4 linked regions of the Arabidopsis thaliana genome follow. The protein of the gene in region 3 interacts with the protein of the main gene of each other region in a biochemical or structural test. Each region holds a gene or a part of one and is shown on either strand. Other genes may lie near its edges.

Region 1 (8,568 bases), on a different chromosome or scaffold from region 3:
TTTTTTTTTGTTACACAAACGTATCTCTATGTAAAAAATTGTAATAAGCCCAAAATTTAATCATATGAAGCCCATCTTAAGCCCAAATCCTATAACCAAATTTGGATTTATTTTGCGTGACGAGCTGTAAAACCTTAGAAAACCCTTCTTTCGCTGTTGTTGCCGGAGAAAATGGTGATGATGTTGAAGAAGACAGTGAAGAAAGGTTTAATCGGCGGAATGAGCTTCGCTAAAGACGCCGGAAAAATCAATTGGTTTCCCGGTCATATGGCTGCAGCTACTCGCGCCATTCGTAACCGCCTCAAGCTCTCCGATCTCGTTATCGAAGTTCGCGATGCTCGTGTCTGTAAACACTCACTCACACTATCTCTCTTTATATTCGATCCCTTTATCATCGTGGAAGGAATAATCTGAATTGTCGTTGTCTTTGTTTTTGGGTATTTTTGCAGATTCCTCTGTCATCGGCGAACGAAGATCTACAATCCCAAATGTCAGCTAAGAGACGTATCATTGCTCTGAATAAGAAAGATTTAGCAAACCCTAATGTTCTCAATGTAATTCGTTTTTTTGTGTGAACCTTTGTCTTTCTTTAACCTCTTGTTAGTCTCTGTGAGGTTGAGTTTCTGAATTTTTATGCAATTTATAGAAATGGACTCGTCATTTCGAATCCAGCAAGCAAGATTGTATTGCCATTAATGCTCATAGCAGAAGCTCTGTCATGAAGGTTAGATGATCCTCTTTACATTTAGGTTGGTGTGTTAAAACCAGTTATAGTTTCTTCACACATATAATTTGATGAGGATTTTCTACTACTGCGCATTGAAAAGTTACCTTCTTTGCATAATTTTTCGTATGTAGCTGCTTGATCTCGTGGAGTTGAAGCTCAAAGAAGTGATTGCTAGGGAGCCTACTTTACTTGTAATGGTGGTTGGTGTCCCCAATGTTGGAAAATCTGCGCTCATTAACTCGATCCATCAAATTGCAGCAGCTCGTTTTCCGGGTAAGATATTGGTGTCTCAGCTTATCAGCAGTGTTGAGTACACATTTCACAGATATAGTCCGGACTGTGAATCCGATTTCTCCAAACTTAAACTTACAAGTTAATTATTTCATGAACAGAATGATGAATGAAATGTAACGTGGCTTATTTCGTTATTGTATGCATTATGTGCATAGTGCAGGAGAGATTAAAGAGAGCTACGGTTGGTCCATTGCCTGGTGTAACACAAGATATTGCTGGTTTCAAGGTAATCTTTATTTGAAAATCCTCTTTTTTCCGTATGCCTGTTAATTGTTTGTGGATTTGCTTCAGCATGATTTTTGAACACATGATGAAAATGTTCTGTGGTACAGATTGCTCATCGACCTAGTATATATGTTCTAGACTCCCCTGGTGTGTTGGTTCCAAGTATCCCTGATATCGAAACCGGTTTGAAGCTTGCTCTTTCAGGTTCTTATCTATATCTTTATCTCCTTTCTCTTCTTTCTTCTTGGTGCTAGATCGTGTAAACCCGTACACTAGATTTAGTTCATCAAATGATGATACAGTTTAGGTCTTATAATCTCAGTTCTTAGTTTTTCTCTAATATAGGGCCGTATTTCTTACAGCATATGATCTCTCTAGCTAATTGTTATGCGTTTGACATTCTAAGGGTCCGTTAAAGATTCAGTAGTGGGTGAAGAGCGGATTGCACAATACTTTCTAGCTATTCTAAACATTCGAGGGACTCCTCTTCATTGGAAGTACTTAGTTGAGGGAATAAACGAAGGGCCTCATGCAGACTGCATCGATAAGCCAAGCTATAACTTAAAGGATCTTCGACACCAGAGAACCAAACAACCAGATTCATCTGCTCTGCACTATGTCGGGGTTAGCATAATAACCTTATATCTCTACCTTGCTTTCCTTCTGAAATTGTCCTGACCAATGAAAGGTTCCCTGTCATCTACAGGATATGATTTCAGAAGTGCAACGATCACTGTATATAACACTCTCAGAATTTGATGGGGACACGGAGGATGAGAATGATTTAGAATGTTTGATAGAGCAACAGTTTGAAGTTCTACAAAAGGCATTGAAGATTCCTCACAAAGCATCCGAAGCAAGGTTAATGGTCTCCAAGAAATTTCTTACTTTGTTTAGGACAGGTAGACTTGGTCCCTTTATCCTTGACGATGTCCCTGAAACTGAAACTGACCACCCCAATTCAAAACGGGTAGTTGTTTTGTAAAATCTTAAAGCAAATTGTACCACATTATGCGTGCAGCTTAAGATGATGATTCTATTTGTTTACATTTGAGATTCAATGGCGTTGCTCCAGTAACTCCAAAGTATTTGAATGAACAAAATTGAATCATGATAAGATTTGGCATCTGCCAGAAACAATATCTATCTGGTGTCCTCATTTATTGGCCTCAATGAATTCTCGGTACTCTTTCTTCATCTTCACACCCGATATAGTCCTACACAGACTCGGAATCTTTAGCCAAACCTGAACACAATAATCTATGCAATTTTAAAACTGAGAGAACGTTTCCTAACCTGAGCATTTCCTTGTTCTTGAAGAACTGCACACATGGGGTTCCCATAATTCCAGCTGCTTCAGCAATTTCTTGATCTTCCTCGATGTCAATCTCAACAAAATGCACATCATGGTTATACTCATCGACCACCTGAAACAAAATGAAGGAGAAGTGAACAAATGGTCAAGTAAATCAGTCCAAAAAGATCTCTTCCGATGAGTTTCATTTCGACTAATAAAGGAATACCTTGTTCAAAATAGGCTTCAGAGTCCTACAGGGGCCACATGTTGGTGAAGTGTATAGTACCAATATAACTCTTGGACTCTCATGGTATAGTTTTCTAAGAGCATACTGAAAGCAGGGGAAAAAACATAAGGAGAAAGATGTGAGGCAGAGAAAATGCTTGTAGGTAACAAGTTAAGGTTCATATGTTAACAAACCTGTCCCTTGTGCTTTGTAAGAGTGATGTCAAACTTTTCTTGGACATCCCGTTGTGTGAATTCTTTCTTGGCCTCTTCAGTTTGAGGCTGTAACGTGAACATGAAAGAGAGTAAGCCTTGTGACGTGTGCTTAAGAGATAAGATATTTCTGAATATTTCCTACCTGGTGAAATTCAACAAGAAGATTGTTACTTGTGAGGTATCTCTCGGCTGACAAAGCAGCTATGCATCCTGATCCAGCAGCAGTTACAGCTTGTCTCCATTCGTGGTCCTAGAGTGACAAATAGGAGAATATAGCAAACACAATTATCGAACCAATATGACTTAAAAGAGTTAATACCAACACCGAAAAATTGCTAAAAGTTCCGAAGAATACCTGCACATCTCCTGCAGCAAATACACCTTCAACTGATGTATTTGATGTTCCTTCCCGAACCAAGACGTACCCGGAGCTGTCGAGTTCGACTTGGCCTTCCAATAACTGACTGTTTGGCGAATGCCCTATTCCATAAAACAATCCTTTTGCCTCCAGCTCAGTTTCTTCACCCGTATCAAGTCTTCTGAGTAGAATGCCAGACATCTGTCCCTTGGTGTTGCTCAATACGTCCACGGTTTCCGTGTTGTAATGCACTGTGATGTTTGGATTGTTGATCACTCTGAAACATTCGCCATAACCAACCTGTTAAAAAAACACTCAGGGTGTTGAAAAGACTCAACTTACGTTGTGCTCATTAGTCTATAATTCCGATAGCCAGCAAAAAAAAAAAGCACTCTACTGGTTGGTTATAAATTTACATGCAACGGAAATCATAACCAAAGGCTTTCCCAGATATATCCAATGGATTTGCGAGGGAACAGGGGATAGCAGTCAATACATGCAACAAAGAACGCTCAACATAGCTATGACAAAACACATTTCCTAGTTTGGACATAGCATTTATCTAGTTTTAACTGTTTATCTTCAGAAATCAAAGAAGAGGAGTAGAATATAAGGCAGACGTGATGAATATAAGAACTCACCTATCTTGCATAGCCTTGGAAGCTCTCAACTGATCTCTGCGAACAAGCAAATGAACATGACGGGCATATTTCGTGAGATACAAGGCTTCCTCTGTAGCCGTATCTCCTCCTCCAACCACGGCAAGTACTTGCCCCTTAAATAAAGGCGAAGCTCCATCACAGATAGCACAAGCACTTATCCCCCTACTCCAGAATTCTTCCTCTCGAGGTAACCTTAACCTCCTTGCTGTAGCGCCAGTGGCATATATAATACTATGGCACTTGACCTATAAAAAATGGAAACATCAGAAGAGAGCTGAAGCCAAAAAAAAAAAACTATTTAGAATTTGAAAAAGAAATAGTGAGAAAACAAAGAAAGATAATCACCTTACGTTCACTAGTTTGCACAGTAAAAGGAGCAGTTGTGACACTAAGAGATTCAACATCTTCTGGATACAACTCTGCTCCCCACCTCTCTGCTTGCTTTCTCATTCTACAATTTTCACACAATAAATAATTGCATCAGAAACATATAAGAAACGCCACAAACTAACAAAAGAATCAGACTATGTTATAGCTCACTTCTCCATTAAATCGGGACCCGTGATACCGTCTGGGAATCCCGGAAAATTCTCAACTTCAGTAGTTGTCATCAACTGTCCACCGGGAACTCCGCCCATCTGATACCCTTCAAAAACCACCGGCTTCAAATTGGCGCGCGCTGCATATATCGCCGCCGTATAACCGGCGGGACCGGAGCCTATAATCACTACATTCTCGATAATCTCGCCTGCAATTAATTATTAAAAAACCAACACAGAGCTCGATTACTTACACTGCCAAAAACCTTAAGAAAGAAGCAAAGAGGAACTCCTCAAGTACCTCCTGAAGAAGAAGAAGACGGAGAATTGGCGGTGGCGGAGACTCTGAGGCGGAGGGAATCAGAAGAGCGAGTTCGGGTTGGTTGACGGAGGAGATAGGAGCCGCCGTGACGTGTGGTAGTAGTAGTAGTGAGAAAGAAGAGATGAGGAGGAGGAGAAAGAGCGGATGAGGCGGCGGAGACACGGTGAGGCGATGAGACGGAGGCAATACCGATGCCTATCTTGGGAGACGCAGCCATATTTTTTTTGATTGCCTTACCTTTACCAGAGACCATACAATTGTCTCTTTGGCTTTGCAGTTAAAAAAAAACATCCCGATTTTCTGTTGGCGACTGTGCCTCACGCGCCTCAGCATTATCTCTTTGCTTCCAAGTCCACAGGCTTAGATGATTTTCAGCCGTTGGATATATGTGATGAAGCGACTGAACGGTGGAGATGTGTTTTGACTGATTTTACTTCGTCTTTTCAACGGAGGGATAAGCCAATCGCTTTTTTTTTAAGTGGGAAAGATCGCCAAGAGTTTAAGTGGACGGACGACGCTTTTTATATTGGGCCATAAATGGGCCTGTTTTGGTACTGAATATTTAGTCACGACGAAGATTCTTAAACCCACCGGAAAATGGGCTAATCTGTGTGCGGATTGCTTCGCCAAAAAGTTAGTACTAATAATTTATAAAGCATAACTAGCTAAATGCGAAGACTATATAGTTTACTTAGTTCTGAAGAGGTTGAAGTGGAAATGAAATGAACTAGGAGTTGGTGAGGGAAGGTGACAGACTATTTTTTCTTAAGTCAAAAAGTTAAGCTGACCAAAAAAGAGCAGCCCAATGAAAGCAAGGATCTTTATCTTTAGTCTAGTGTCTGAATTCCATGCACTTCCAATGTTTTAGTCAACAAAATGTACTTACATTTGATGACTTGATGTTGTATAGATTCGTTAGGAAGCCACATCACTAAACGTTAAGCATAACTTTATGGTTAAAAAAAAACCCCCCCACCGTGTTCTTACTTGTCATCCAAATTCGATCTGCCATTTGAAGTTTCCTAAGCTGTTCTTGATGACTATTCTTAAATTCGATGTTTATATCTTACCATCTAAATTAAGCCTTACAAGAGCTACATATCCAAGTAGTATATGCTGGAGTAGTTTTGTGATCCCTTAATCTTATTGTTCAACAAATAATTTCAACAGGACATATATATGGATCACTACTGTTAAAACGATATAGTAGAGCTTAAGCGTTAGGATTTGTATTATTAGTTGTCTCTCTCTTTTACAGACGCGTGGAAGGTACGCGCCGTCATAGGAACATTGTCGGTAATCCCCTTCAAACACCAGTAGTCAGTAGATCGATGACTTGAATTACATCACTGTCCCCTACTTTGACCAATAGAGATCTAAAGGTTTCCTTTCTTGCATTATTGTGCTAAAACCGACATTTACTTAAGTTACTTGATTATGTCTTGGAAAAAAAAAAAGATTTTAACTTTGGGAACTTTTATTCAACTGAAATTTTAAAGAATTATTTAATTTGGAATTCCTTCTATAAATTTACTGGCTTTTACCGTTATACGTTACCATAAACTTATATATATGATCAAATTCGACCGTGATGAATGATCACTTTTTTAACTTTCCATTCAGATCAACTGAACCCCCTTACTTTTTCTATATATACTCTTTTAAGCACTTGTTTATATATTATCAACAAATTAAGGTGTCGAAAGTAACATACAATTAGACAAAGCATGTATAGTCAAAAAGATAGATAGTCATCAATTTTGAAAAACGAGCAATTTACATGATCCTACAAAACAACAAAACTAACTATATGAAATATCAAGTTTATAATCATTTTTAAAAATACCATTACAAAAGATTTGTACTTTGAATATAATTTAACATGAAATTTAGAAAACGATCTGTTTAAGAATATAACTTCTGCTATGTGGTATTTTAACTGGTACTTTATAGAGAAAAAAAGATTGGTAATTAATGTGATATTTTTGCAATCCATATTATATATTCGAGAGATTTTACTAATGATAGTACTTGATTAATCATTAGAGAAAACTAAATCTTACAAATATAGGTAGACATGATGAATAATATGCATGATTTGCGTTTCGTAAATTGATAGTACCACCTCACCTAAAGGGGGTCCAAACGAGTTGCTTCATATCACAATATCCAATTTTACCAACATACATTAATATATGTGTATTCACATATATACCTCGTGATTAATATTTTTTTTAAAATCATTTTTCGTTTGTTTCCTATACGTCTAATCAAACACACACGTTACAACTAAAATTATATTGACAATATAGCTCGGTTGGTAAAAGCAACGACTACTGCAGTTTCCCTGAAAAACTTAAGACCAGTACTAAATATCAACTATACAAATTAAGTTGATATCAGTTTTTTTGGGGGTAAAGTAATCCAATATCATTCTAAAATTAAAAGCAAAATGTCGTTAGTTATACATGTTAGAGACGAGCGTTGTGTTTGAGAAAAAAAAGAGTTATGTCGTATAGTGGATTCGACGTAAATATTATCGATGGTTGGTTTCAAACCTGAAAAATTACATGTCATATTGTCATCAAACATCGATTTTCATTTGATATAAGAAAAATATATTTACAAACACAATCGTGTGTGTGTGTATGCATCATGATTATATGCATGTTAGTGTTAGAGTTACATATTCTATAGAATATGTAAATAGTTAGAAGCGTACGTTCCTTGAAAATTGTTCAAAGTATTTCTATTATTGTTTTCTTTTGTTAAAGTATTTCTATTATTGTCTCAACCACCTAATTAAATTAAATAACGTCTCTATCTCTTTCTATGGAGTCGTGTTACGTCTTTCTAGTTTGAGATCTTCTACTACTTGTTTTCTTCAAGAATAATAATTTTCGTTTTATATATGGAAGATGCTGGTGAACATTTACGGTGTAACGATAACGTTAACGACGAGGAGCGTTTGCCATTGGAGTTTATGATCGGAAACTCAACATCCACGGCGGAGCTACAGCCGCCTCCACCGTTCTTGGTAAAGACATACAAAGTGGTGGAGGATCCGACGACGGACGGGGTTATATCTTGGAACGAATACGGAACTGGTTTCGTCGTGTGGCAGCCGGCAGAATTCGCTAGAGATCTGTTACCAACACTTTTCAAGCATTGCAACTTCTCTAGCTTCGTTCGCCAGCTCAATACTTACGTACGTATATATGCTTCACTGTTTCAATCAGTATTTTAAACTATTTGTGTTTCTTTGAGTTTACTAAGTGTATTTGCTTAATTAAAGGCATTAATGAGTGTTGTTACAAAAATATTATAGGGTTTTCGAAAAGTAACGACGATAAGATGGGAATTTAGTAATGAGATGTTTCGAAAGGGGCAAAGAGAGCTTATGAGCAATATCCGAAGAAGGAAGAGCCAACATTGGTCACACAACAAGTCTAATCACCAGGTTGTACCAACAACAACGATGGTGAATCAAGAAGGTCATCAACGGATTGGGATTGATCATCACCATGAGGATCAACAGTCTTCCGCCACTTCATCCTCTTTCGTATACACTGCATTACTCGACGAAAACAAATGCTTGAAGAATGAAAACGAGTTATTAAGCTGCGAACTTGGGAAAACCAAGAAGAAATGCAAGCAGCTTATGGAGTTGGTGGAGAGATACAGAGGAGAAGACGAAGATGCA
Region 2 (6,900 bases), 3.1 Mb from region 3:
AGGGTTTTTATCTGAAACTATAAAGCAACGTTACAGAAGAAAGGAATTAAGAGAGAAACAAGTGTAAGAAGTTTTGTAATAGCTAAAGAAGACGACCATGAGAGGTTGTGAGCACCAACAGTATAGATTGCTCCACTTTCTTCATCCTTGACTTGTATTCCTCCTGAGCCTGTGTGATTCAGTATTTCATTACAGTCAAAACACACCTAATACATCAAATCTCATAGAATTTGTGGCAATAAAGACAAAGATAGGATTTGTAATGCTTACAGTTGTGATTGGTCCATCCAATGACTTGGTTTTCGATATCGTAGACAACTAACTTGTTAGAGAGGGCCATGTCTGCGCAGCGAAACAAATCAACACTCAAATTTTTTCAGCAATTTCAGGATGAAAGTCATTTTTAAAAGAGATATATGTACCTCCAAGAATTGTTAATGAAGCTCCTCCTTTAGTCTGCAATCCACCATTTTGCCAGCCAAAACACCATGTGTCTTCCTATAGTCAGTTTTTTATGTCAGAACAAGAAAACAAGAACACGAAGTTAGAAACAGGAACAAGACTTACTCGAACTTGGAATAGATATTCCCGAGGATAAACCGCCAATGAAACAGACTTGTCAAACTGAAAAGTGACAGTTGGGAACCGATCTAATCTGTGAATTTGACAGAAAATTTCAGAGGGTCAAAACATCAAACATTATATACTAGGTGTATAAAATCAGTCATTCCATCAGATTCAGCTAAATCCAACTCCATTTCAATTCCAAAAGCAAAAACTAGTACATTTCCAGCAAATAACAGTACCATTTCAAACATTCTCACTAAACACCAAGAATGACAAAGCGATGAGTTAAATTCTTACTTGTCTGTATAATGGAAACAAGTAAACGACTCTTGAACTGTATGCAAAGTAAGCTCTGGATGTGAAGCCAATATCTGATGGAAACTCAAGGGAAAAAAACATAAGTGTTAAGAACTTTGTAAAATAAGACAGAAAGAATTCACAAGTAACAGAATATAGTACTGACCTCATTCAGTAACGGGTTATAAACAGCATCAGGAAGATACACCAGAGTTGTACCACTATCAATAATAACTCCTTTGTCATCTCCCGAATCAAAAGCATTCGAAGAAAGTTCTAAAACTGAATTACCAACTTCAATTGCATTGAGGTTGACACTATAGTGAGCTCTGTGAAAGAGTTGCAAACAGTGTAAGAAATTCAAAACTTCTTGACAAAGAACCAAAGAAGAAGAGCTTTAAGAGAAAGGCATTCACTTACGATTTAGAGAGCATAGGTGTAGTCTTTACTTTCGGCGACACGACTTCTCCAATGGCGAATATACCACCTCCATTGTTGTTATCCAAACAATGCGCAAAAGACCTTTTGACCTTTCCTTGTGAAGCTAGCTGCGATATAAACGATGAATTTGATTGTCCAAATCCCATTATCCCATCAACCGCAGCTTGTGACTCTCCGAGCTGACCAGACTGTTTAGACCCACATCTGTATAAGAACCACAAATAACAGTGATTCAGAGATTTGCAAGCCACAACAAGCTACAAAATTCATAGAAGAATAAAGCTGTTTTTCCTTAAACTAACCCGAAGATAATAGTTCCGTTGGTGGAACCGGTTTGACGATTTCCAGTAACTAAATCCAAATGAACAACATCTTTCACCAAGTATCCATTAGTTGAACTCCCATCGCCATACATAATAACATACTGACAAGTAGAACCTGAGTGACACTCAGATCTTTGGTTAACGTAAGAGCAAAAGTTGTCACTGCACGAAACAGATTTTGCAGTGGACGAAGCATCCACATCATAAGGTGTCAGCTCTACCTGAAAGATAATGAAACTATGAAACTGAAAACATAATGTAACTTAGAGTTCTGTTTTTTTTTTTGGAGGGATAGAATTGATGGTATATACCAGATCACTTTTCCTAGGACATCTGATGCAACCAGCACAATTCACCCATAAGATATCACTTCCTGTATCAACTTGAACATGGAAGTCTCTTGATGGAGTTCCGAGTCCGATTTTAGCGAAGTATAAACTGAAATTAAAAACAACAAACATAAAGAACAAGAATCAACATTTTACCGTAGAAGACACAAGAAGAAGACCATTTCATAATGAGTCAAGAACCAATCAAAGAGTTGAGAATCTCAATAGATTCAAAAGCTTTGTTTTTTCTTCAGATTCCACATTTAAAAAAGACAAAAAAAATCCGACTTTTTGTTAAAAAATTCCCAAAATTACAGGTTCTGGTAAATGGCGATTCGAACCCAATAGACTCAGGCTGGCTATCGCCGCCGAGAGGAATATCGATGGCGGAGAGGAGTCTTGAGTGACGGTGGACGTCGTGAGCTCTGAGAGCTCCAAGATCTTTTACTCTTTTTCCGGCGAACTTGCTTCGAACTTCAAATACCAAATTCTCCGAAGCCGTCGCCGCCGTCGAGAATTGCGGGTCAATCAGCAACGCCGCCGACAGCAAAATAGCCGACAAGAACCACTGTCTCCGCCTGAGATCCATGACCGGAGATATCCCTAACTAAGTTAGTTGAGAAATCCAAACGAAAAAAATGAAGAGAAGAAAAAAAGCAAAAGAAAGAAAAGTATAGTTTGGCGGTGGAGTACGATTTAGGACAAAGAAGAAGAAGAAGAAAAATTGGTACTTTCCAAATAAAAAAGTATTTTAATCATTAACTAAACAACATTTTGAAATTAATTTAAGACTGGCTAGAAAATTATGTACTATATAATAAGATTCCATGACTACAAAAAAAAAAACTAATTAAATTTCAAGATTGTAATAATTATTTAAAAAGAAAACTGAAATAACTGCTAGAATACACTTTTGGCAGCTGTAAATTATTTTCACTTGTATAATTCATTTTTTCACATGAATATGCATTGTCACATTATTAGGCTCATTTTTAACATTTTTTTACCGTCTAATGTAGATTTTAACAAACAAACAAAAATCGACTCTAGATGATAATGAGTAATGATAAAATCATCAGTTGTCATAAATTGTAGGATTCAAAACTGTTTTTGATCACAAATATGAGAGTTTTCCTTAGATACAAAACTAGTAATCACTGAACTATCATGCATGTTGTTGGTATTTTGTATTTTAGTCTAAAATAGTTAAATTTATGGAAAATAAAAGAATTCATGTTTGTCTCATCATTTTGAGGGACCGAACCGTAATTTCGCAGTAAGAAACATAAATATCAATCTTAATTCCTCAAGAATTCTACACCTCCCGTTCCATCTATCACGAAAACAAATAATTACAGTAAGTACCCCCGAATATCCTTGTTCATCCGAAGCAATTCGAGGATAATACCGTCTTTTTCTCTTTAAAATCCAATTAACATAAAATAAATATTTGCTCAGTCCGTTGAGACCTCACACACACTCTCTCTCTGATCATTCAACTTTTCGAAATTTTGCTTCATCGTCTTCGTCATCGTCTCTCTGTTGAATTCCTCAAACAATGCCTCTTTCTCTCCGTCTTTCTCCTTCGCCGACGGCTTTATCTCCGACTACCGGAGGATTTGGTCCATCGAGGAAACAGTGCCGGATTCCTTACTCCGGCGTCCCGACGACGAAGATTGGTTTCTGTTCTTTGGATTCTAGGAAAAGAGGAGATTCCTCTGTTGTTAGGTGTAGCTTAGAAACCGTTAATGTCAGTGTTGGTCAGGTGACGGAGGTCGATAAGGACACGTTCTGGCCCATCGTTAAAGCCGCCGGTGAAAAGCTTGTCGTACTTGACATGTACACTCAATGGTACCTACTATCTCTTCTATGCCTCTCTCTGCTTTGAAATTTTTACCATTCGACATCTCTGATTGTATATAGCGGAATCGATGAAATCAATGGCGTTGCGATGTCGAATGCTTAGATTACCAATTGATTTGAATTTTGATACTAATCAAAGTTTCCGTGGCTTTCAACTAAGATTGAAAAATCTTCTCAGTTAGATTCTTCTGCAGATGTGGTTCATTTAGATTCCATAGTGAATGTTTTGGTTTTGATGTTGGTAGTCTTTAAAGAGAGTTTCAATTCAAGATGTTCTATTCTTGGATACCTTATGCAGGTGTGGTCCATGTAAAGTGATTGCCCCTAAATACAAAGCTTTATCAGAGAAGTACGACGACGTTGTGTTTCTAAAGCTTGACTGCAATCCAGATAACCGGGTCTGAGTTCTGCTCTTTTATCTCTCTTCTTTTGGTAACTCGGTTTTCCTAAACCATATATCAATTGAACCATAGCTAGTAGCAGCTAAGGATAATCAATACCTGTTTTTGTTGTTGCTACTACTACCTGTCTTTGTTGTTGCTGCTAAGCCATTGAAACTCTTCATTGGTGCAGCCATTGGCAAAAGAGCTAGGAATAAGAGTGGTTCCAACTTTCAAGATTTTGAAGGATAACAAGGTTGTCAAGGAAGTGACCGGTGCAAAATACGATGATCTGGTTGCAGCGATTGAAACAGCGAGGTCTGCTGCTTCCGGATGAACCAGTCTCTCATGTCTTTACCATAATTGTTTGTATGTAATGTGAAATCTGGTGTTATCCCTATATATAGGTGATGAGGAAACGTCAGCAAAAGATTATCTTGTATGTGTAAAAGTTTCAAGAAATATGATCATGAAAATGATTATCTTTAGGTTTCCAGTTGATTCGGTCTGAAGGATTTCTAAGCAATTCGGAACTGAGTTTGGAAGATTCGGTGCAATGTGCACTAGCAAGTTTGTATTTTTAATTGGGGATATAGTTTGAAAGTTATGAATTACAATTGTGAGAACTAGCACAAGTCTTATAGAATTCATTCTTTACATAAAGCATCAACAGTGGGGTTCTTTATGAAACACAAGTGATTGACTTGACAGTAAGCTAGTCAAAAGACGAGATAGAAAAGATGGCAGTAACATATACCATAGTAGACAAGTGTGTTGGATGGGTTCTGCTTGATAACGATGTTTACATAACATGGAACTTAGAATGAAACCTGAATGCCCAACAAAGCCATTAGTTGTGAAACAAACTCCGGGTGTCCAGGCCATGCTGCGCCAGTTACTAGATTCCCGTCAGTGAAGCACCTGTCGATTGGATCTGGTTCTAGCCAAGTTCCTCCTCCAAGTACCACGTTCAGTTTCACGGCTGGATAAGCAGTGCATTTCCTTCCCTGCACCAGCCAGTGAACAGGTCACATAGAATAAATTCCTCAAACAACTTGTAGTGGCAAGAAAAAGGAGGACATAGTTAAATAAAATTAGAGCTACGAAGGAACAGTGCTGACCTTGAGGACACCAGCAGCAGCTAAGATCTGTTGTCCGTGGCAAATAGACGCAACTGGTTTCTCAGAATTCATGAACTCTTTAACTATGTTAAGGACATGTTCGTTCAAGGCCAGATATTCTGGTGCTCTGCCTCCAGGAATGACCAGAGCATCATAACTCGAGGAAACTAGGTCATCAAAGTTAGTAGTTAAAGCAAAAGTGTGGCCTGGTTTCTCACTGTAAGTTTGGTCACCCTCAAAGTCATGGATTGCAGTTGGGCAGCGATCACCAGCCTTCTTCTCTGGACAAACCGCATCAACTTGACATCCCAAAGCTTGAAGGGACTGGAAAGGCACTTTGACTTCATAGTCTTCCATATAATCCTGCAAAGGTCAAAAATTACCAAAAGTGTGATGTTCATATCAGGAGATTCAACGATCTTGATATCTTCTACCAATAAATTTAAAAGTGTGAGGTCATGATATTTGAAGTACAATCTAAAGCAAGATCATAGGCAAAACTACTGAAAACATAAATTCATCAGAATGGTAAGATTGCTTACCCCACAAAGAAACAAGATCCTTTTATTTGCTCCAGTTATTTTACCGCCAAGAGCCTTGACAAAAAGCTGGATAAATTCAGGATGACCCTCATATGTAGCTGCAGTAATCAAACTACCATCAACAACACAGACATCCGGAGTTATCGGTTCGACCCACTTGGCACCTGCAGCAACAAGGGAAGGTCCAACAGTTGCATAAGCTGTACATTTTCGACCATTGACTGTGTCTGCAGCTGCCAATATCAACTGCCCATGGCAAATAGAGGCAATGGGCTTGCCAGATCTTGAGAACTCTTTAACCAGCTCAACAACAGATGCAGTCAAGGCCAGGTATTCTGGAGCACGTCCTCCTGGTATAACCAATCCATCATACTTGCTAAGGTCAACTTCATCAAACGTTGCATTGAGCGTGAAATTGTGACCTCGTGACTCAAAATATGTCTGCAAATTCTCTCAGAAATACATCAGAAAAGTGTGCACAGCTTAAAGAAACTTGTCTACAATACATTCTATCATCCAATTCGAAGCTCAATTGGAATGAACCATTTCTAAATATAGTTACAATGGATCGTATATCAATAGATCAAGCAGCTACACATGGAGATCTAGAGAGGGAGAGAGAAACCTGGTGGCCACAAAAATCGTGAACGGCGGTGGGGCAAGAGTCACCAGCTTTCTTTCCGGGGCAGACGGTGTGGACGGTGATTCCGAAAGCTTGTAAAGCTTGGAACGGAACCATCACCTGAGAGAAGACGCCACACACTAATCAGCTGATATATATATAAGAACAAGGAAGAAATGGTATTAAGAAAAAGAAAAAAAAAAGTTCAGTAGCAGAGGAAGAAGATGACCTCGTAGTCTTCCATGTAGTCACCGCACAAGATTAAGACAGTTCTCGAGTTCGCCATTTTTCAGCAAGAGAGATGAAGATGGAGAGAGCGAGCGAGAGAGAGATAATGACTCTGACCGGAGCTATCTGGTCACGGCGACGTTTAGGGAGCACATGTGTCATGTGGTTTCAGTTTCACAAGTATGCC
Region 3 (7,747 bases):
TAATCTTAATATCTAGCAAGAAATGTTGTAAAGTGTTTTGGTTGTCCCAGGAGCAAAGGAATAATTTTGGACTAGGATCCAGATTAAATTTTTAGTCTCTGTGGTCCTACTAAATAGAAGTCTTTGAGTTTGCAGTTGATTACTCAAATGGTTTGGGTACCAATATTTGACTCCCCATCATAACTCAGACCTAAACCCCTGTTTGAATGTTTTTTTTTGGTTATTGTCCTTGGGGAACCAAATTTATAGATTTTTCTATTTTGTTGCGCAATGATGATTTACCCTTCACAAATAATACCAAAAACTAGTTCCTGATCACTAACAATATTTTTGTTTCCTGAAAATTGCATTATTAGTCAATGACAGTAAAAAAATTGGAGTTGTTTGTGTGGCAAAGAAAAAAAGAACACTGAAAAATATAAATGATAAATTCAGAAAATCTATTTTTTTTTTTTGAGAATGCTATTGCTAGGGGTGAAAGTTGGTTAAAATTGAAGAGGAGGTAGTTCAGATAGGTTTCAATATACTATTTAAAAGTAATGTTTTCATTTAAATCAAATATAAATGCAATAGTAATTGAGGCAGTTGAGAATTATGAGCGTTACGTAAAATGATAAATACGAATTTAATTCCACCTTCAATAATTTATTTATTTTTGTCAAAAATAAACAAAGAAAATGGTACTACAATTTACCTTTCTTGTTGAGTTATATCTTCTTCTTTTCTTTATTATTATCTTCTTTATCATTCACTAAATGTCACCTTTCTGTTGCAACCTTCATATTTAAGCAAAAATCTCATTCTTCAAAGCCTCATTTTCTGTTTATTAAGAGTCACTATCCATTATATAGTTCTTTTTCTTCCCGGGAAAAATCTAGAAATTTCGGTTTATAGTTTACGTAAATGGGACCAAGAATTAAAATCTTACTAATCGCGATTTATTGGATTTTATATACGAATTCATACAACTTTTGTGGTTGCAAGATGATTTGCGATTGACCAACTTGCACTCTCCTAAAATTTCTTTGTAACTAGATAACCAAACATTTTTTACATAAACCATCTCTCTGACAATTACTATTAAACTAATCTGTTTAAAACAAACATTTTGATGGTTGACACTTATTTTGTTGGAAGGAAGAGACAGGGGAATGTACTTTACTGGAGCTGTGAAAACCGGTTCTTGATTAGAGTGGCTACGTGCTGCGCAACCCATGCCGAGCCAGCCACCGTGCAGCAGAATCCGTGCGTGTGACCTTCCCTCTCGATAGATAAGGAAGTATGCGGAGCTTGCTTTGAAATCTGGACAATGGAGAGATTCTATGAGAGACCTTCCTTCTATCGTTAGGATAATGCATTTTGATTAAGCGAGAAGAAGGGAAACCAAGTAACCTCTTCAAAGAGTTGCAGTGGACCCCAATGATCATCAATGCCAAATAAAAATGCAAGCTTGCTCTGGTTTTCTCTCATGAAATCCCAATCTGGCTCTGCTGCAAGCTTATATGCCAAAAATGAAACAGTGGATCGTCACCTAGAATGCTTTAGTTGGAGATCAACTATAGGGCAAGCTTGGTCATGTTGTAGAGCTTTCAAGTAAACACTTTGCATACTTTGAATTCAAAATGAGACTCTAAACTCTATACAACACATTGTTGAAAGAAGAGTACCTCTCTAAACTCTGACTTTGCCATGAAGAGAACATTGCGCATGGTGTGATACTGCAAGCATCAGATGAAGTTAAGTCGTCTGAATAGTTAGTAGGGAATAAGAACTTAAAGTATCAAGAAAAGAAGATGTAATGGCCATCTTCAAGTCTTTATACAACTAGGTTCAAGTGTAAAACCCAAGAAAATCAGTGAATATGAGATAATCAATACCTGCCTCAAGTGAGTGCAGGTAGCTTGAACAGCAGTATCAGACCATGAAGCTCCAATGGATTTAGATACAAGCAGCCGTGCAGCTGACATAGGTAAAAGTCTCAGCGATGCAATCAGAAAACTTGCTGTAGCCGACAGAACAGAAGACCTGCACAACATGATAACGATTTCACAACATTCTAAATAAAGACTGATTGGTTCTTTCCTATCGAGGATTCGTATTGAGAACAAAAGCTCACGCTGCAAGTTTGCCAATTAATGATTGCTTTGTTGATTGTTGGTTCAAAGTCAAAAATGGATATAGGCCAATGCAATATACCACCTGCAAAGCATTCCAGAGAATAATATAAGAAAAATCACATAGCACTGAAAGAAATTGTGATGGAGAAAGTACTACTCTTAGAGGAAGCCATCTATACCTTGTCCGAGAATTTCTTCAATAACTCAAGGGATATATAAGACCCAATAGAATGCCCAACCTACCAAGATCAATTAAGCTTAGAGTTGTAAATTTTCATGAAAATCTGGAAATCCATCCAACTAATGGACATATATATTTTGGTCATAAGAAGCAATATGTCAATGGCTTATACACATGACAGTCTTACCAATATTATTGGAACTTTCACACTCTCCAACTCCTGTCTGATAAAATCAATCTGTATGATAACTAACAGATTAAGATCTTAACTTCACAGGATGAACAATACAAGAACCTAAAGGCTTTCAAATCCAAGAGCAATGAAGAAAAATGATTTTTATTACCTTATGATCAATTTGTTCTTGAAATGAAAATAGCCTCCCAGACTCCCAGTCCTAAAAGTGAAAATAATCAAGTATCATGAAAGCCTATCAAACTAAGATATTATATGAAGAGAACCATCAAAGTTTACACACAGTAAAACCTGAAACCAAAGTTAACGTACCTTGCTCGTGTGAGATATTTGCCCAATAGCTACACAAATAAAACAAACCACTCCACCATTAGAGATCAGAAGAACAAACTCAAACTCAGAAATAAACAGCTTCCATCTTAAGGACTCAAAGAAATCAAACTCGAAAAGTAGAGCAGCCATACCAATTACAGAAGCATTTCCACCAAGAAACTCGTATAAAGATTCCAAAAAGTCCTTGTAAAATGACACAACTCCTGAAAAATTACAAGCCAATGTATGAAGCACACTAGTATATACACGTGCATGCATAAGAGTCTTGAGCATAATAATGAAACCTGGATTTCCCGGAATAAACAATACATGGAATGTGGGATTCTCAGCTTGAATTTCCATCATCTCCGTCATCGAACTTTGATCACAAATACAAAAAACAAAACAAAAAGTGTAACTATAGTCAAAGAAATTAGAAAATTTCGTAAAAGATTAATGTAACAATACCCAGAAACTCTGCACAATCTGGATTTAACATGTCTTTTAGTTTCATTCATCAATTTGTTTTGAGTCTCCATGTCTCCGGTCACGCGATTCAACTTATATCTTCTCTCAGAACTGTCAACACTTGAAAGGAGAAGATCGAGAGAATTAATGAGACAACAGAGAAACCACTAAAAATCAAAACTTTGCAAAATAAGTGAAGAAGCCTTTTAAAGTAAACCAAGTGAAGAGAGCACAACAATGCACCTGAAACAACAGGAGTAGATTAGATACTTTGGAGAACTGAACCACCGATCGGAGGAAGAAAGTAACGGAGAGACGGAGTTACCCAAGGTAGAAGAAGAAGACGCATATTTGCAGCAATAGTAATACGACCTCGTTTTGAGTAACGCGACGTCGTTTTATGAGTTTGGGTGTCGTCAGGCTTATCTCCACCTCATACTTCCACTACAAAGAGAGGTGATTGACAGATAGATAAGAGTGTTTGGTAGCTCAGACTCAGAGAGTCACAAAGTGTGTGTAGCAGCAATGGCGTCTGTTGCTTCTTCAACTACTCTCATCTCTTCTCCCTCTTCTAGGGTTTTTCCAGCAAAGTCTTCACTTTCCTCTCCATCTGTTTCTTTCCTTCGAACCCTTTCTTCTCCTTCCGCATCTGCTTCTCTCCGCTCCGGATTTGCTCGACGCTCTTCCCTCAGCTCCACTTCTCGTCGGAGCTTTGCTGTCAAAGCCCAGGCCGTAAGTTTATCTAAATGTCGATACTTTTCTTATTCGATGTCATTGAAATCTGAATTCATTAGCCTGTTATAGATTTCACTCTCTTCCTACTTGTTAGCCCTATAGGTTTTGGGGAAATAGTTAACGATTTATAGGTTATGCGACCGTGTTTCTGCAGATTACTCGAAAAGTTCAGAAATTTGAGTGACATTTTCGTTTAGGGTTGTTAATTTCTCTGGTGAAGTGAAATTGAGTGACATATGAGCTATACTCATTGACTGATTAGTATGTTCGGATGAGGTCTATGTAGTTTTGGTATAGTACCATGGTTATCTGATTGTCAATTTGACTGATCTTTCTCCTTAGATTTGATGTGTTAACGAGTTTTAATTTGGTGATTATAGGATGATCTTCCACTGGTTGGAAACAAGGCGCCTGATTTTGAGGCAGAGGCTGTGTTTGATCAAGAGTTCATCAAGGTACTTACAGCAGTTATCAATCACAGTTGCTGCTTCTAGTTAATCTGAGATTAAGTTTAGTTTTGAAGCTGAATGAGTAGTCTTTAGTGTTTTTTATTTAGTGAGTATATGTCTTATTGTGATTGGAAACTAATTGGTAACTGATGAATGTATGGTTTCAGGTTAAGCTCTCTGATTACATTGGAAAGAAGTATGTGATTCTCTTTTTCTACCCATTGGACTTTACTTTCGTCTGCCCAACAGGTTAGCATTGCTCGAGAAGTATATCAAAATTGAATATCCAAGGTTCCCTCATCCTTGAGTCCTAATCTTTCTCATTTTTTCCTTATGTCTTTTAGAGATTACTGCCTTCAGTGACCGGCATTCAGAATTTGAGAAGTTGAACACCGAAGTATTAGGTGTTTCTGTCGATAGTGTGGTAAGTATCACTATACATTTACTATGTTCTCATTTTACTCAGTTCCTCATCCTTGGTTGACATCACCATGTTCTTATCTGTTTGCAAATTTTTGATTCATTCTTATTTCTGTGTGTCCTCGTAGTTCTCTCACCTTGCATGGGTCCAAACAGACAGGAAATCTGGAGGGCTTGGTGATCTGAACTATCCCCTTATTTCAGATGTCACTAAATCAATCTCAAAGTCGTTCGGAGTGCTCATCCATGATCAGGTAATTGTTAGCCTTTAAATCTTGGCTACCTTCCTTTAAACTTTCGAAGTGTTTGGGATAAATGAAAACAAGAACTTTGTTTGTGTAAGAACAGGGAATAGCACTGAGAGGACTTTTCATAATCGACAAGGAAGGAGTGATCCAACATTCCACCATCAACAATCTTGGTATTGGCCGAAGCGTTGATGAGACAATGAGAACCCTCCAGGTAAAGATACAAATAAATACACACAACTCCAAAAACCGCTCTTTCCTTTCACTCGATTTCCGGTATGCTTAATACGTTTTCAATGTTGCAGGCATTACAGTACATCCAGGAAAACCCGGATGAAGTCTGCCCAGCAGGATGGAAGCCGGGTGAGAAGTCAATGAAACCCGACCCAAAACTCAGCAAAGAGTACTTCTCAGCTATTTAGAAACTCTACTATGATAGCAAAAAGGTACAATCTTTGTTATATGTGAGCAGAGTTTTTTTTCTTGTACGCTAAAACAATCCTTTGTTTGATTCTCACTTTGTCCCCAAAATTATAATAAAAAACTTTTTCCGTTAATGGAAGTCTTATTGTGTTACGCCTACAAATTCATATTCAGTTGATCACTTACCTAAGCATGTACACTGTACATATTAATGGTAAAAATCAAGACCATTTTGTGATCTTCTTTGATAGCACAGAGAAGCCATTGTTCTACCATATACGCTAGTCATATTAAAGGACCTGTAAAAAAACCAAAGGACAGAAATTATAAAACTATCATTTCTCTTTCTTTAATGCATCTATATGATAATTATGATCCTTAAAAAGCTGATGCTACCTGTAAAAAAGTTGCTCATGTGTCCCCCTGCCAACAAATTCCAACATCATTAATCATCATCAACCCAACCTCCTCCGTCAACTGATGACCGGTAAACGCCGGTCAACTCTCCTGCTTTAACTACACTACGTCCCGGTCATTATTTTTTCACACTCTCTCTCAAACGATGCATGCCCTCACCAACTCCGGCGCCGTACTTCTCGCCGTGTTACTCTTCTTTCTGCTCATCCTTTTCGCCGAGCTCTCTTACATCTTTTGTTGCCGCACCGGATCTTTACCGTCTCCGGCAAGTAAAGAGGTTCTTTTCCAATTCTTGATGTGTTGCAAGAAGAATCACCACCACTCTCGTATTGAGCCATGCACCGGTATTGTTTCTGTACAGATGGAGGAGGATGTTGTTGCTGCGGCGGTGCCTGAGGAGGAATTCGCGGCGGCGGACAAGTGGCGGGTGTCGAGGCTTCTCTTCACAATTGAAGAAGAGGATTTGGAACTGGAAGATGATGATGATGATGTGATCTCTGCGGAGGTAGATAATGGCTTCGAAGTCCAAGTTGATATTCCGGTGGAGTATTCCGGCGATCCAACTCCGTTCTTGACGCCGTGCAACTCACCTCCTTACTTTACTCCTTCGCCATCTCCTGGTCGGGATATGGATGACGTCATTGATGTATATGAAGTCAGCAGCAGAAACTGTTGTTTCAATTTCCAAGGCTCTCAGATGTGTTAACATTTTTTGCATAATTCCAATGGTTTAACAGATTAGGTGGAACATTTTCGTAATTATTTACAGGTTTTGTCGGAATTATTTGTTCTTGTTTTTGGTTTATATAACTTTGTCGTCATTTTTTCCCCGGCAATTTGAATATTCATCAACACAACTTGGTTCAACGCGTATATATGTTTGGTTCTACGTACATTAGAATAGGACGTAATGTGTTAAAGTCGTGGAGATGACGACGCTATGAAGTATGGAATGGTTCATTGAAACTTTTGTTTGGTTATGTTTTATTTTGTTGTTACCTAAACTAAATGAACCAAATTATTTTGGTTCCCTTGACTTTGATTTCCGTTTAGTTTCAAGTGTGATTAAATTACTAAATGTTTAGGTATTTTTGGGTCTTGTAATTTTATGAGATACATAGTTGGTCTTAGAGACCAAAAAAAAAAATGCACCTTTCAAGAAAAATTTCCAAGAAGACAGCATCATACTACAATACTGAATTGACTGCACATATAAAAATTGACTCGACAGAGAATTAAAGGACATGAGTCAGGCCTCATGGCAAGTAAAAAAAAAAGAAGACCTATTTTTAAAGAATTGAGAAAAAAAAAGTTTACCAAAAGTGAAAGACAGATAATGTTTTTAGCTAGAGTTGTAAGTTTTAAGTTTTGGTAATATCTCAGGATGAGCAACCAGATATAAACCACAAGAACCGAAAAAAAAAAACATATCATCTATACATTGACACTATTTAGATGAATGTCTGCAAATGAAATTGAATCAGCAAACTTGCGTTCATTTAAACTCATATTAAGAACTTGGAAAAAAATCTATTGTTTGGCAATACTAACTTTTGTTTTCTGAACTTTGGCTTTTCTTTTTTCGAAAACGTTGCTAAAAAGCCAAAGAAAAAGGCTTACAAAAGTAAAGATGTTTTATGCCGTTTGGATTAGCTTTTAGTGCGATACACACAAAAAGCAATTTGTTATCCAAATTCTATCCCGCGTTTGAAGTGTATACTTTAGTCATTGGTCTTAGTTCTAATTGACAATTGAGTAAGTGCATTTCGATTGGTTTTCATAGG
Region 4 (6,303 bases), on a different chromosome or scaffold from region 3:
ACAATACCGAGGTGATGGATTTAGGATAAAGCAATGCTTACTCCACGCCTGACGACTTCCTCTACAGCAGCTTCGGCACTTGCCACCAGTTGCTCTACATACCTGATTTTTTTTTTCAGTTGTTCACATTAGAATCTGTCAAGCTCAAGCACATCTCAGATCTGAAACTTACATGGTTTGATGTCACAAGTTCCCACTTAATTAGTTTGCTTATGCTTATAGGAAGGAAATCTTTAACCAAGACGATATCACTGGTTTCTATGTTCTAGCAACAAGCTTTACGAAAGTAAATATCACTTTACCTATCATTAGCCTCTTCATCACCTTCACCAATTATAGGTATAGTAGGTCCAGATAATATAGCAAACCTGCACAGTGCAGACAAATCCAGATGGTATAAGCTAACACTCGATCAACAAGCTCAGTGATATAGACCCCGGCACACTGAAACAGCAAAAAACAGTATCAATGCTAAACCTTCTAGCAAGCCAAAGAAGGGCAGAAGTTGATCCAATGCCTGCAAATTCATTTGGCGAGCCACGGACTTGACCAGCAGCATCTTTACTCTTGAATTCACCAGGATAAGACCAAAACAGACAAGGAAGAGGACCGTCTTTTGATGGATCATAGCCTGGTGGTAGGTATAGTGTTGCAGTAAGTTGAACCCCGTCTTTCCGTTGATACCTGATCATCTCTTTCTGTAACGAAGCCAATTGCGGATACGGATGAGGAAAGTTTGTAATCTGTTGCACTTTCCTATCAGGCCAAAGTTGGAGAGAATATTGGGTGTTTTCTGTTTTAGACTCCTTTGATGTCAGAATTTTCAGCTCCTCCATTTTTAAATCCCCTTCTTTTTGGTCAGACATCAAGGCAACAACTGTCTCGAAATACTTTTCCTTGTCGCTCTCCCAGATTCGTTCTTTGTTGCCTGTATTTCTAGATAAATTTTGTACAGAACATTCAGTTTGTTATCGCTTAATGGCAATAAAAACAAAAAGAGAAGCAAAAGAAAGAGAAATCATTGTCAGGTTGGGCTTACATGTCAAACAAGTCAAGGAAGGGCACATTCCCTTGTGGTGTAGCCCCACTTCCGTTCAGTAATACATAAGTGCCTTCATCATTTTCCTTCTTTATCTTTGCTATTACATACGTTCCAGCATCGGTCCTTCTCAGCATGGTTGAGCCAGGGTCTGAGTACACATCTTCCGATGATCTATCAAACAAGATGCGTGGACTGACATCGTTAGATCCAGGAGAGATAACCCACGTCCTTGTTCGTCGTGTTTTATACCATGATTCATAAACCAGAGCTAATGTATCATCACACCAAGAAATCCCTCTGCAGAATTGAAATCGGATCAATGTTAGGACATAGAAGGCTTTGATGAAGTTAGTCAGTTTGTTGATAAGATGGCATAAGTAATCTACAATATCTGCTGTGTTTTTAGTTGTTACCCATAACGAAGATCGAGCTTGTGTAACACTTCTGGTTCTTCTCCTGCCAATGGTTCAGCAGACTGCATATAAACTATATCACGCGGTGAAACTTCCATTTTGGCATCACCTCCATCTTGTGTTTCTGCCCTACATATCTCAGAAGAGTTGTAAATTAATTACTTCCAAATCCCATTTTGGCACGTGTACTACATGTGATTCACTTTGAATCTCAAATATATACCAGTAGAGGGTTGAAGGCTTGTCTGCTCGCCAGTTTATTGAACGCATTCCTTTCCGCACACTATTGGAGGCAATGGGGATATCTTCAGCCAAGGGCAAGTCACATAGCTGTCTTACAAATCTACCATCAGTTGTCCAGACTTCCACCTTCTTTGGAAATCTACCACAAGGTACAATGAAGGAATATGGCCTGTGAAGTGATGACACCAACAAGTACTTATGGTCTGTCGAAGGGTCTAACGATGTATACACTGCAGGAACCCCTACTTCCTTCACAGTACCATCCAAAGAAGCCAATACTAGTTGTGATGAAGCGTAGTAGTCAAATAAATCAGCATCATACTCATCCTTAAGCAAATCTTGGAATGTTCTAACTTGGACAACAGTCTTCGTCTCGTTTGACAGAGTTTTGGGACCAGATGGCACCAAAGGTTTCTTTGGTGGTTCTCCACGAGATGAAGGGATTGTGCTCACCAACAAAGTGGAATTATCAATCCAAACAAAACTCTCAAAAATCGCATTCAGAAAAATATCTTGCGAGTTAAACAATGGTCTAGCTACTCCAGTCTCAACATCAGCTACCCATACCACTGGCTTACTACTATTTCCGTTCTCATCGACCCGGATGCTGAAAGCCAGATGCTTACCGTCATTGGACCATGTAACAAAGTTAATCTTACCACCATCTGGAATGCCAGTGATCTCCTTCTCAGGACTCAATGTACCATCAGGCAATAACTGATGGATTCCTAAACCAGTATAGAATGACATTCTGCTTCTGGTATTGCAGTATCCATCAATTCGAACACCAGCAAGCTTCTCCTCTGGTCTAGCTAAATCTGCGAGCGGAGGCAATGCTCTCCGCTTGAGAAACAATATCTTATCCCTATGTGGTGAAAATGATAAAGCCGGGACTGGTGGAGCATCTACAATATCTCTGATCTCAGGTGGAGGCAGACGATATCCAGTGCCTATAGCCAATTCTACATAGTTCAACACACAAACAAACAATCAAAAACGATTTCTCAGATTTCAATTCCAGTGACAAGTAACTCTATACACAAAAATATTCAAATCCAAGTTACCATCATCTTCAGTTGCAGTAGCAGAGGCTGATAGGGAGCCATTAGAGGTTCCACCACCGTCTTCAGCACCTCCAGAACAGGCAGATGCGAGAGAACGAAGCCTAGAAGCAGAACGTGAAGCCATGACAGTGGTCAACGGGTTTTCGGAGAATCGGCGAACTCTTACGCAACGTCGTGTACTCAGAGTCGAGAATCCGGAAAGCTTGGGAAGTAGAAGGAGAGAAGAAGCCGGTGACGGAGACGGCGGAGATAAATGGCAGAGAGGTGAAAGAGAGAAACGATGACAAGCTTTATGAAAGCGCATCATCTTTTTTTAATACTTGACTTTTTTAACCTTTTTAAAGTGCTCTGAATGATTCTCTCTTTTTCTATTCGACGGTTCACTAATCAAAACGACGACTGTATCTGTATGTATTTTTAACCAGGAAAACAAAAAATATCAGGAAAAATATCGGTAGTGGTCACTGCTTATGTGGGCCTTATCTATGGCCCAACTAGCGCTTATTTCCTGGAATATGGCCCATTATAAGTCAGTCGTCCTCCCCCTTTTTCTCAACAAAATGAAATACTCAAAAATATAGTAATTATTAATTTATTATGCTACTTTTCATGAGAAGTTTATGTCTATGAAAATTACAGAAGAGAAAATGATAACAAATTTTTATTATTTCAGTCAAAAATTAAAAAAAAAGCTTCTATAATTTTCAAGAAAAAATGTTCAACGGCTGATAAAATAAATATTCCGGGGAAAAACTTATGTTTCTCAAATTGGTAGAATACTACTTTTTGTGAAAAAATCTAAGTACACGTGGCAAAATATGCTTGGTTCTTAGAAGATAAGAGGATTGTGTTCACAGAGTTTAATAACGTGAACGAGTATATTTTATCTTCTTCATCTCTTCACATCAAAAAACTTTTCTCCTCCATCAAAATCCTCCGACGATGACAACCATAGCTGCAGCTGGCCTCAACGTCGCGACTCCACGAGTGGTCGTTCGACCTGTGGCTCGTGTATTAGGTCCGGTCCGGTTGAATTACCCGTGGAAATTCGGTTCGATGAAGCGGATGGTTGTGGTTAAGGCTACATCGGAAGGAGAGATATCGGAGAAGGTGGAGAAGAGTATACAAGAAGCTAAGGAGACATGCGCTGATGATCCGGTGAGCGGGGAGTGTGTAGCGGCTTGGGACGAGGTGGAGGAGCTGAGTGCGGCGGCGAGTCATGCTAGGGACAAGAAGAAAGCTGGTGGCTCCGATCCTTTGGAAGAGTATTGCAATGATAATCCTGAGACTGATGAGTGTCGTACTTATGATAATTAAAAAATATGTTTTTGATGTTCGAATTATGAAACTTTAGGTATGGATCAATGTTTGTTCTTCTTGTCCCTTGTTGTTATGTTTGTGTTTTTGGTTTGGTTGATGATTGTAATGTGATAAATGAATATGAATAGTACAATACACAACATATGTTTCATAATGTGTTTGGTTCGATTACATTTGCAGTTTCGTGAAATTGATAATAAAAAACTCAATTAAGTTTAGATGAGGCTGAGATGATCTTAGGTCACTCGCATACGTTCCTTATTATTTTTTTGTGGATGTGGAGATGTATGTGTCAAAACGACGTTGAGCCGAGAGAAAGATGAATTGATCGAGAGTTTCTTAGACGGTTTTAAAATTGCTGCCTTGCTGGTATGGGAATTAATCTTTGGTTTCAACAAGATGGGTAACAACAAACAAGCCCATGTAATTATGTTGATGCAGTGTAATGGGCTTTATCAAGCATGGGCCGATGTACAAATTTGACATATAGAATAGAACCAGTTTGTGGCCAGCCTCAAGGTGATGAGAAACAGTAAATATATTAAGGAATAAGTGAACTAAATAATTTGACAAAAAAAAAAACACCTGAAATGTATACAATTTTATTGTTTGATAACAAAATTTGTGAAGTTAAGTGAATGAATTCAAAATCGTTTATCTTCTAGCATTAAATTGATTAATCTAAAGTAAATGATACGAGTGTGCTTGTTTGATGCTCTTCTGTGTTATTTTGCAAATTTGAATTCGTTCACTTATATATATTTTTGGCGGTTCAGAAAAGTAGATTTTAACAAGAAAAATGCATCGGCACGGTATCACCAGTTAAAATCTGAAGGTAAAAAGGTTATATATGAATTTGTAAGAAAACAACAAAAATTAAGCCGATCTATTTGTCGGCCCAGCCGCTAAAGAGTCAATTATACCCCTATAATTCTCACGCGGTTTAAGAAAATGCAACAACAAGTAAGGGGTGTATCTGTCTTCTCACACATAAGATTTTTTTTTTTGCTTATTAAAACTCTTACGTATTGTTGTTTCCTATTCTCAAATTTGTATTTTCCAGATTTTCCAGAAAAATCTCACAGCGGTAAGAAAAAAAGAAAAAGAAGAGTCAGTGGTCTTGTTGTTTCGTTCTTCCTTGTTCGCTCGACCTGGCCGATGTCTAACCAGGACCAGGAGACGCGCACACAATTCGCAGAATGTAACGTTGTTGCTACTCTTCTTCTCTCGTTTCTGTGACCTAAGAACCATTCGAATTCGCTGCTCCGTCTCTCTGGTTTCGTCCTTGAAAAATCGTCTACTCGAGATTCCTTTCTCTAGCCACCCATCTCAACTGCTGAGTAGCAAGCTGTATTTTTGTTGACCTAACTAAACCCTAGCTTCTTCGAGGTTTTCTCTTGATTCCCTTGTCTTTTCTAGCTCCCGAATTTGCCAGTTTTACTTGATTTTCATTTTTCATGTGTGATGTGTGTTTTTCTATGTAATTGGATCTTAGGGTTTTTTGATTTGGGAATAACTCTTTGAAATCGCATTTAAGATTGTGTCTCAATGCTTTTTTACGATCCAATTCCTTGAGATGTTTTGTAGATTTCTTTCAGTCGCTTAATTAGGGGAATGATTGGATGATCCTTCCTGTGTAGTAGGAAGAACAGATAAAGTTACATCAGATTCCAATTTTTAAAAGAGAACCCTAGTTTACTATTAAGTATGTGGACGATTCTATTTCATATGAAAGGTCTTGGTGTTATATATGTCATCTGTGTATATTTATCTAAAACTGAGTCAGTATAGTGCATGCTTTAATTGATGAGACTGTCTTTCACTTTGGCAGTGGCATTTTTTTGACGAGTGCTTCTCTTCCTTATCATGGACTGGATACACAAATCTACTCCTTTTATGGAACCTTCGAATTTGGCAAAACTGGTTCAAGGAAATGTTCCTCTTCAGCCACATGACAGCCATTCTTCGCTAACTGATCTAGATATGGACCTTAGAGAAGTCTATTTCCTGATTTTACATTTTCTTTCTATTGGCCCCTGCGAACGAACCTTTGGCCACTTGAGAGACGAAATTTTGGAAAAAGGGCTTTTACCCCGTAGATATCATTCCTGGTGGTCAAGAAGTGGCATTTATAGCGGGCGTGCTGATGATGATGGCATCTCCCTCCCCTTGAGTTATGATAATTTGATAGAGAGGTACTGTTTCTTTTTTTTTTTCCTAC

Evidence for each region.
Region 1: the proteins of AT3G11630 (region 3) and NTRC form a complex in vitro, tested with the Arabidopsis thaliana proteins (2 studies listed by BioGRID).
Region 2: the proteins of AT3G11630 (region 3) and TRXF1 form a complex in vitro, tested with the Arabidopsis thaliana proteins (one study listed by BioGRID).
Region 4: the proteins of AT3G11630 (region 3) and CP12-1 form a complex in vitro, tested with the Arabidopsis thaliana proteins (one study listed by BioGRID).

Annotation. Positions count from the first base shown.
Region 1 is NC_003071.7:17,373,947-17,382,514, forward strand, and holds NTRC (NADPH-dependent thioredoxin reductase C), read right to left. Parts: upstream 5,114-8,568; 5' UTR 5,083-5,113; coding exon 4,845-5,082; intron 4,753-4,844; coding exon 4,545-4,752; intron 4,456-4,544; coding exon 4,350-4,455; intron 4,250-4,349; coding exon 3,984-4,249; intron 3,620-3,983; coding exon 3,340-3,619; intron 3,235-3,339; coding exon 3,127-3,234; intron 3,051-3,126; coding exon 2,964-3,050; intron 2,875-2,963; coding exon 2,770-2,874; intron 2,674-2,769; coding exon 2,543-2,673; intron 2,464-2,542; coding exon 2,403-2,463; 3' UTR 2,232-2,402; downstream 1-2,231. Other genes in the region: AT2G41670 (P-loop containing nucleoside triphosphate hydrolases superfamily protein), read left to right, coding at 172-342, 450-554, 647-724, 859-1,000, 1,177-1,247, 1,354-1,450, 1,653-1,870, 1,953-2,231; HSFB3 (heat shock transcription factor B3), read left to right, coding at 7,777-8,073, 8,194-8,568. UniProt on the Arabidopsis thaliana protein: Thioredoxin reductase (TR) that exhibits both TR and thioredoxin (Trx) activities. Contains a C-terminal functional Trx domain.
Region 2 is NC_003074.8:586,207-593,106, reverse strand, and holds TRXF1 (thioredoxin F-type 1), read left to right. Parts: upstream 1-3,413; 5' UTR 3,414-3,515; coding exon 3,516-3,808; intron 3,809-4,118; coding exon 4,119-4,218; intron 4,219-4,393; coding exon 4,394-4,537; 3' UTR 4,538-4,841; downstream 4,842-6,900. Other genes in the region: AT3G02740 (Eukaryotic aspartyl protease family protein), read right to left, coding at 18-169, 271-342, 423-498, 568-655, 865-938, 1,031-1,193, 1,285-1,509, 1,608-1,849 and 2 more; DJ1D (Class I glutamine amidotransferase-like superfamily protein), read right to left, coding at 5,019-5,207, 5,322-5,684, 5,864-6,304, 6,489-6,605, 6,715-6,771.
Region 3 is NC_003074.8:3,668,393-3,676,139, forward strand, and holds AT3G11630 (Thioredoxin superfamily protein), read left to right. Parts: upstream 1-3,643; 5' UTR 3,644-3,796; coding exon 3,797-4,003; intron 4,004-4,386; coding exon 4,387-4,461; intron 4,462-4,622; coding exon 4,623-4,704; intron 4,705-4,799; coding exon 4,800-4,879; intron 4,880-5,003; coding exon 5,004-5,129; intron 5,130-5,223; coding exon 5,224-5,337; intron 5,338-5,428; coding exon 5,429-5,545; 3' UTR 5,546-5,767; downstream 5,768-7,747. Other genes in the region: AT3G11620 (alpha/beta-Hydrolases superfamily protein), read right to left, coding at 1,159-1,302, 1,393-1,497, 1,668-1,718, 1,878-2,025, 2,117-2,199, 2,297-2,356, 2,486-2,536, 2,643-2,693 and 4 more; AT3G11640 (uncharacterized protein), read left to right, coding at 6,109-6,669. UniProt on the Arabidopsis thaliana protein: Thiol-specific peroxidase that catalyzes the reduction of hydrogen peroxide and organic hydroperoxides to water and alcohols, respectively. Plays a role in cell protection against oxidative stress by detoxifying peroxides.
Region 4 is NC_003071.7:19,443,185-19,449,487, forward strand, and holds CP12-1 (CP12 domain-containing protein 1), read left to right. Parts: upstream 1-3,545; 5' UTR 3,546-3,704; coding exon 3,705-4,079; 3' UTR 4,080-4,458; downstream 4,459-6,303. Other genes in the region: AT2G47390 (Prolyl oligopeptidase family protein), read right to left, coding at 42-102, 303-368, 478-936, 1,040-1,339, 1,456-1,584, 1,679-2,660, 2,763-3,069; AT2G47410 (WD40 domain-containing protein), read left to right, coding at 5,949-6,277. UniProt on the Arabidopsis thaliana protein: Acts as a linker essential in the assembly of a core complex of PRK/GAPDH. Coordinates the reversible inactivation of chloroplast enzymes GAPDH and PRK during darkness in photosynthetic tissues.